Linked DNA regions of Diceros bicornis minor. The protein of the gene in region 1 purifies or fractionates together with the protein of each later gene. This does not show direct contact. Links are inferred from orthologs where the notes say so. Each region holds a gene or a part of one and is shown in the gene's direction. Other genes may lie near its edges.

Evidence for each region.
Region 2: the proteins of STYK1 (region 1) and TMEM259 purify together in Homo sapiens (affinity purification with mass spectrometry; 3 studies listed by BioGRID and IntAct, with this or other methods). This does not show direct contact. The link is inferred for Diceros bicornis minor from reciprocal best matches to the Homo sapiens genes STYK1 and TMEM259.

Annotation. Positions count from the first base shown.
Region 1 is NC_080756.1:50,302,531-50,306,275, forward strand, and holds the start of STYK1 (tyrosine-protein kinase STYK1), read left to right. Parts: upstream 1-1,304; 5' UTR 1,305-1,372; intron 1,373-3,745. UniProt on the Homo sapiens protein: Probable tyrosine protein-kinase, which has strong transforming capabilities on a variety of cell lines. When overexpressed, it can also induce tumor cell invasion as well as metastasis in distant organs.
Region 2 is NW_026691553.1:560,288-564,032, reverse strand, and holds the start of TMEM259 (membralin), read left to right. Parts: upstream 1-1,452; 5' UTR 1,453-1,549; coding exon 1,550-1,771; intron 1,772-3,745. Other genes in the region: cleavage and polyadenylation specificity factor subunit 6-like, read right to left, coding at 1,152-1,182. UniProt on the Homo sapiens protein: May have a role in the ERAD pathway required for clearance of misfolded proteins in the endoplasmic reticulum (ER). Promotes survival of motor neurons, probably by protecting against ER stress.

The DNA of each region.
Region 1 (3,745 bases):
TTGCCTCTCCTTCATTATATTTTGTTTTTTTAAAAATTCTTAGGTCATAGAGATGATGATTTCTATCACTATAATGGCTCCTTGACAATAACTAGATTTTTAAACAAAATTCTGTGTGTCAGAACATGGTGCTGCAGGAATTACAAAAATGAGTAAGCCAGTCTCTGCCTTCAAGGAGCTTACGGTGCTACGGGAAGTAGAGCAGGAGATTATATAATATGAAGTTCAGATCAGTTTATTTGGCTTTTATTAATCAATTATGACATAAAGGATGGGAAGAACAATTGACTGAGACTTCATCCTTTTTTAAAAATTGAGGTAAAATTCATATAACATAAAATTAACCATTAGCCATTTTAAAATGTACAATTCAGAGGCATTTAGTTCATTGTATTTTAACAGAGCTCTGAAGGAAATCAAAATTTCAACAGAGAAGAGTCTAGAGAGCTGAAGCACCTCAGTCTCTAAATACTCCATATTACGTTGCACCCCAATTCTTTTTGTTCGAATGGATGCCCATTTCTGCTTGGCATGCTATCAATGCTGAATAAACTGGTCACCTATTCAAGTTATCTATGACATATTTCTTTAATAGAACTTGTATTAGGTGTTAATATCTAATTTGGAATTCTTCCAGCTGTGTATTTTCTTTATTGTTCCCTATGACTGTAAATTCCATGTGGACAGGTAACATAACTAGCTTGTTCACTGCTACATCCCTAGAGGAGAGCCCAGCACGTAACGGGTATTTAAAGAGCATATGCTATTGATTGATTACCTACTCCTGGGATTTTTATTTCTACTTATTCCTTATAGGTTCCCTCATGTCATAGCAGCGGCCAATATCTTGTACACGCAGCAAAGGCTTGGGGTTACAAATGTCCCTGGAGGGGACTAATCAAGCTAAATGAGAAATCCCGACCATTTTGAGCACCAAAGAAGGCAGCTGCTACGGAGTCGGACACGAGGTGGCGCTGTTGCCCTCATTCATGAATTTCCCTTTTCACCTGGCCTGGCGTCTCCCTATACCTGACCATCTAGCAATCACTAGAGAAGGAAAAGAGTAAGTAGATCAGCAACAAGTCCAGCTTTTACAGTTTCAGCAGAGGTTTCCTGCTGGCTGGTATGTGGTGAGTCCCGGAAACCTCAATGCCCGCAGACTTCCCTTTGTGGGGAGCCCGCCCAAACTCCATCCTTTGCTGGCAGCCACGCCCCACAGTGGGAAGGAGGGACGGAAAAGCATTTCCTTGAGGCTGGCACACCTTCCCTACCCAAACCGGTCATTTCTTTCTTTCCTTCTTTTTTTTTTTTTTTTTCTTTTCCTGGCTGGACCAGTTCCATCTGAAACCCCAGTGACCCGAGGAGGGACACGGTAGTGAACGGGGATTTGGGGGTACGGAGCGTTGGGAGGGGGATAGCAGGGATGCGTCTAAGGGTGGATTTTTGACATTTGGCCAGAAAACGAGGGAGGAGGTTGGGAGTGAGACGGTTGCGAGCGGCTGTTGTATATTATGTGAACAAACAATAATCACCAGGTGTATTAGTCTGTGTTTCTTTGGAACCAGCATCTGGTGGGTTTTGGCTTCCACGTTTTTATGACAAGAGACTAGACCTGCCTCAGCAGTCTTGGCAGAGAGAAGAGCAGCAAGAAAGCCTAGTGGTGAGGGGCCTCTGTGTATTTCTGGGGAGGGAGCAATCAGGAGAGTAGAGATGGAAACAAGCAGGGCACAGGAATTACTTGTCACGGGGCTACCTAGTCGTTCAGATGTGTGGGCTCACTGCTCTCAGCTTCGTCATGTGTGAAGCATAAATAATAATATAATTACCTCACAGGGTCGTTGTGATATTTAAAAGAGATAATATCTGTAACCATGCTTAAAAACTGTACGTGTAATATGCTGTTCCTTGGTGACCTAATTTGTTTTCTTCTTAATCTGTCTCCTCTTTTTCTGTGTCTCTTTCCTTTCTCACTATCAATGCCTCAACCTCTACCCCATTTTGTCTCCTTTCTTTCCCTTTCATTTCTGTGATCGTGGCTGCCTTCCGTCACGAATCCTCTCCCCATCTGAGTTTTTCTTACATTTCAGACCAAGCTTTCTTGCCACTACTTAGAGTCATCAGTAGTTGTGGAAATAAAGGCTACTGTAATGTGTGGCACAGCCACACTGAAATGCACCTGGACACAGGGCTTTGTGCTGTCGACCTCCTTTACCCTCCTCAGTACTCCTCACAGCCAGCTATGGGCCATCCAGGTCTTCATGAGACATGACCAAGTATTTGCTTCAGTGAAAATCGTATTCTTTTTTCAGTGCCTTCATCACTGTGTTAGTTTGCTAGGGCTGCTATAACAAAGTACCACAAACTGATTAGCTTAAACAATAGAAATTTATTCTCTCACAGTTCTGGAGGCTAGAAGTCTGAAATCAAGGTGTTGACAGGGTTGGTTCTTTCTGAGGGCTATGAGGGAAGGATCTGCCCCAGGCCTCTTTTTTGGCTTATAGATGGCAGTCTTCATGTTCACATGGTATCCTCCCTGCATATGTGTCTGTCTTCAAATTTCCCCCATTTTTAAGGACACCAGTCATATTGGATTAGGGCCCACCCTAATGACTTTATCTCTGTAAAGACCCTATTTCCAAATAAGGTCACATTCTGATGTACTGGAAACTAGGACTTGAATGTAAGAATTTTGGGTGGCACACTTCAACTCATGACAATTACTAGTTCTCTAAGTATGCACACATTCAATGTTAGTTGAGCATCCCATGTCTTTCTGTTGTCTTCTGCAGAAACTGTTTTCCCACCTTTCCCAGCCCCTCACAACCAGCTCCTGCAAGCATGTGCTCCAAACTTCTGCTGGGAGTTATGTGATTCTGCAGCTGTTTTGTTTTAACCTGAGTTTGTTAGTTTCCTATTGCTGCTCTAACAAATCACCACAAACTTGGTGGCTTAAAACAAGGCAGGGCAGCTTCAGACCAGACTGGCTGGATTTGTGGAATCTGCCTATAAAGCTGATGGAAAACAAAGTAGTAACGATAGATTTTCAGCCTTCCTTTAGCCACCCACCTCCTTCCTTGAACCGCAAGTGTCTGTGGTCTTTCCCCATAGGTCTCAATGCCTGACCCCTTTAGCCATACTTGGGGCTGGTATCTTAGTATGAGTCAAAATGAGTTCTGGTGGAGGAAGAAGGAAGAAGCAGAGTATTCACTATAATATTCTTAAAGCCCTGCAGTGCCAGCAATGAAAATACAGCGGGAGTATAAATGCTCTAACTTTCGACACATATGAGTTAGAGATTTCCAGAAGCTAGTCCAGACACATGTACAGCCCAAAGGACCAGCAGGCAGAAGAAACTATGAAAGTATATGCACATTATGAATTCCAAGAACCGGGATCTTCCTCCTCATTCTCATCCCTACAAAACTTAACTGAATTAAAAAAGGGATCAAATATCCAGTCAGCCTTATGAATGACGGAAAATTGTAGTGAAAAGAGCGCCAGATGGAGATTCAAGACGCACGATGCTAGTCGTAGCTTACATGCTAATTAGCTGTTGGAAGACAAATAAACTCTGTGCCTCGGTTTCCTCATCAGTAAATTATGGAGGTTAGGGTTTTTTGTTGCTTTCGAAGGGCTCTACTGGTCATACATGTTTAGACTTCTAGGGCCTTTGTGGAGCTCATGTTGCATTTCATAGTGTGCTTGTCAGAGAGAATAAGAAATGGAAGACAGGGTTGCTGTTTTT
Region 2 (3,745 bases), on another chromosome or scaffold:
TCGTCTCCCCGACGCCGGCCCTGCCCCGCTCTGCTCCAGGCTGCCAGGCTGAATTCACTCCCCAGGTCAAGGGGACATCCACCGGCCTCTCCATTGGGAAAGATTGTTTTTCTCTTTTGTAACTAACAAGTGATCTGGGAGTGATCCATAATAATTTCAAGCGTGTGCATTTATTGAGCGCCTACTGCATGCCAGGCCCCGTGCAGGGCGCTCTCTATGGGACAGGAGGAGAATGACTTCCTCAGAGGCCCCGTCTGCGCCCCTCGCGGTGGGCTGCTCGCCTTCAGGAGCCAGACCAGACACCCCCTTGTCCCCCTGCTGGCCCCGAGCCCCAACACCCGGCACTGGCCCTGGGGCGCTTTTTTTGCAGCAGGCCTGGGTGTCCACTGTCCTTTCCCCAGGCGGCCTCCCAGCCATCGCCCCACGCGTCCTGCCTCCCCTTCCTGCTGCCCTTCCCGGTTCCCTGCGGCGGAAGCACCTGGCATACAGTAGGCGCTCAGTGAACGCTGGGTCCTAGTACTTTCCCGGCTGCCCAGAGGCGCCGAGACGTCTCAAGGATGAGCACGTGACCCGAGGTGCCCTCCCAGGCCTGGACACTGGAATGTGCCCGGGCCGGCGGGCGGTGGGGGGACAGGCACTGTCCGGGGGCGGCAGGGGCTCAGAGTCCTGTCCACCCCTCGTCCCCGCCCGGCCGCGGTCGCGCGGGTGGCATGGGACAGGGACCTGACCCAGCGGGGCCGGTTCAGAACAGCAAAAACTAGGCGGCCCATGACGGTAGGTGGGCGAGCAAAACCCGGCTCGGCCCCGAAACCACCTTCTCCCGTGCACGCAGCAGGCGCCCCGTAAAGCCCCAGACCTGCACTGGGGGGGGGGGGGGGGGGGCGGGAACGAGGGAGGAGGCTGGTTCGCCCAGTCGCAGATCTCCGCGGTGAGCACAGCCCGGCGAGGCCCTCTGACGTCACGCGGCCCTCTGACGTCAGGGGGCTTCAGCGAGGCAGCGTGGAAGTTTCCCACGCAGCAAACACGCGAAACGCGCTGTTTGCGGGTATAGTTACTGAAAATAAATAAAGCTACTTTACACTTATGCCAATTTGATGAAACTTACACTCGGCGTGACTTTCTAGAGCACCACGTATAAGAAAATCTCCTACCGTCACGCTTCCTTTGATTGTCTTTTATCATGTCTAAAACCCTCCGATGTTGACTAATTTTACCTCCCAAGAACGCCCTCACAGCCGCGGAGGATTGTGGGGGCAATATGCAAAACAAAGGGCCGGCCGCAGCCCCGCCCCCGGCGTCCTCTCCGCGGGTTGGCCCGGCTAGAAGGCGGGGCCTCCGCGGGCGGCCGCCGGCATCCCAGCGTGCCCCGCGGGCGCAGGGGGCCGCTCTGGCCGGGCACGGCGACTCGCTGGCGTCAGCAGGCCGCGGAGGCGGAAGATGGCGGCGGCGGCCGGGCGGTCGTGAGCGGCGGCGGCGGCGGAGACGGCCCATGGCGGCCGGGAGGCGCGCTCGGGGACCCGCGGGCCGCTAGGGCGCGACGCGGGGCGGCATGTCGGAGCACGCGGCGCCCGGGGCCCCGGCGCCCGGGCCCAACGGCGGCGGCGGCCCGGCCCCCGCGCGCGGGCCGCGCACCCCCAACCTGAACCCCAACCCGCTCATCAACGTGCGCGACCGGCTCTTCCACGCGCTCTTCTTCAAGATGGCTGTCACCTACTCGCGGCTCTTCCCGCCCGCCTTCCGCCGCCTCTTCGAGTTCTTCGTGTTGCTCAAGGTGACCGCGGCCCCGACCCCCGACCTTTGACCCCGGAGGCGGGCCCTCCCCCGGGCCTGCGACCTCTGACCCCACACGCCCGGGCAGCGAGCCCCTGGGGACCCTCCCTTAACCCTGCGACCTCTGACTCCTGCCCCGAGACGTCCGCCTGGGGAGCCCCGGGTGTCGCCCCGTGGTGGCCCTGGTCCCGACCCCAGGAGCTCCCTCCCCGCCGCGCCCACCCCTGGTCCCCGCCTCGCCAGGCCCCGACCCGCCGGGAGCCTCCTCCTGCCCTGTGACCCCGAGCACCCGCTCCCCACCCTCTGGGCCGGTCCTGACCCAGAACCGCAATCCCGGGCGGCCGCACCCCTGGACACGCCCCCGGCCCACCAGCTGCCCCGGGGGCGCTCCCGGTCCACCGCCTCCTCCTCCCGCCCCCCTTTCCTGGGGCTGCCCCCTCCTCGGGACCTTCCACTGCCCCACCCGAGTGTCCCTCCTCCGGGCGTCCCGGGAGTGTGACCTCGTTGAGGACATTCGCCGGCGTTAGTGGCGAAGTCACAGCAGCGCTGCGGCTCACGGCTCAGTCAGGGTCCTCCCGGGGGGCTCCGGGTTCCAGCGGGAGCGCGGCCCCGGGCCCTCCACGAAGGGTCTCCCTCGGGGGCAGCTGCGACCCCAGAGAGGGAGCTCGTGGGGCCAGGGTTCGGTTCCCGAGCACAGGGTGGTCCTAGCTGTCACCTGACACGGTGGGATGCTAACGTCGCCAAGTGGGCGCTGGGCTCCTGGGCACAGAAAGGGCTGATGTTGGCGGTCGAGGCGCGGGGGGTGCGGCCGGCAGGGTCGGTCAGGAGCCTGCGGCTGTTTGGGGTTTGGCGGAAAGAGGGCGAGTGGGGCTGCCCAACAGACCTGGGTGCGTCCCGGCCCCACCGCAACCTCGGGGAAGCCCCTGAGCCCCCCAGTCCCTCCTGCGAGGCTGACCTGGGCTGTCCGCCTTATGAGGCTGCGTGCAGGTGGCCTTCCCGCCCCTCCCTCCCCACAGCCCCCAGGACGGCTCGGGTCCCCTCGGGAGGCGGTGAGCAGCTGTGGAGAGTTACAGGATCGGGGTACCTTACTCAGGCTACTGGGGACAGTGAACAGAAGTCTGCGTGTGGGCGTCACCTCCTCGGGGACAGCGAGCACTGTCCTCCCCAGACAGAAGGAAGCACTGGGTCCGCAGGCTGACCCCTGTCACTTGAGGGGTGTGTTCTGTGCCAGGTGGCACCCTCCCCAGGGATCTCCATCTCCTCTGAGAGCACGTCCTGGTCACCTCAGCTCTGTGTACTGCTCCCCGATTTGAGAGCAGATGGGTGTTTGTGCCAACCTGGCGGACAGGATCCACACCCAGAGGGTCCCTGGGCAGGTGGCCCCCGAGGCTCTCAGCCCCCACGCTCCCTCTCTGCTGTGTCAGAGCCCAGAGGCCCCTCGTTCCTCGTGGATCTCCCCGGTTCCCTCGTCTACACAGCGAGGGCCCCTCATTCCTTGTGAATCTCCCCGGTTCCCTCGTCTACACAGTGAGGGCGGACCACTGGTTCTGAGTTGCCTCAGGTTGTGGAAAGCTCAGCTCCTTTGCTTCCTGCCCGCCCGGCTTCCGGTGCTCTTGCTGCGGAGACCGAGGTCCCCTCTCGGACTTCCTCTCGCTGGCCTCTTCCTGTGGCGCCTGTTCCGCTGAGCTCACGGCTGCGACCCGTCAGACCCCCTGTCTCCCCGCCATGCCTTGGGGTCGTGGAGGACCCGTGTCCCGTGCCAGCTGCTGGGGAGCGAGAGGCGGCCGGGCCTGTGTTCAGGGCCCTTAGAAGACCTCGCCTCCGCCCCCCCCGCCTCGGCTGCCACCTCTGCTGGTTCTCCTGGCACAGAGTCCTGAGCAGCTAGCATGGGGTACTTGGGCCCATCAAGTTGGACTCTGGACTGAGGGCATCCTGACTCTGCAGCCACCCAGGTGATGCCCGCAGGGAGAGGGGC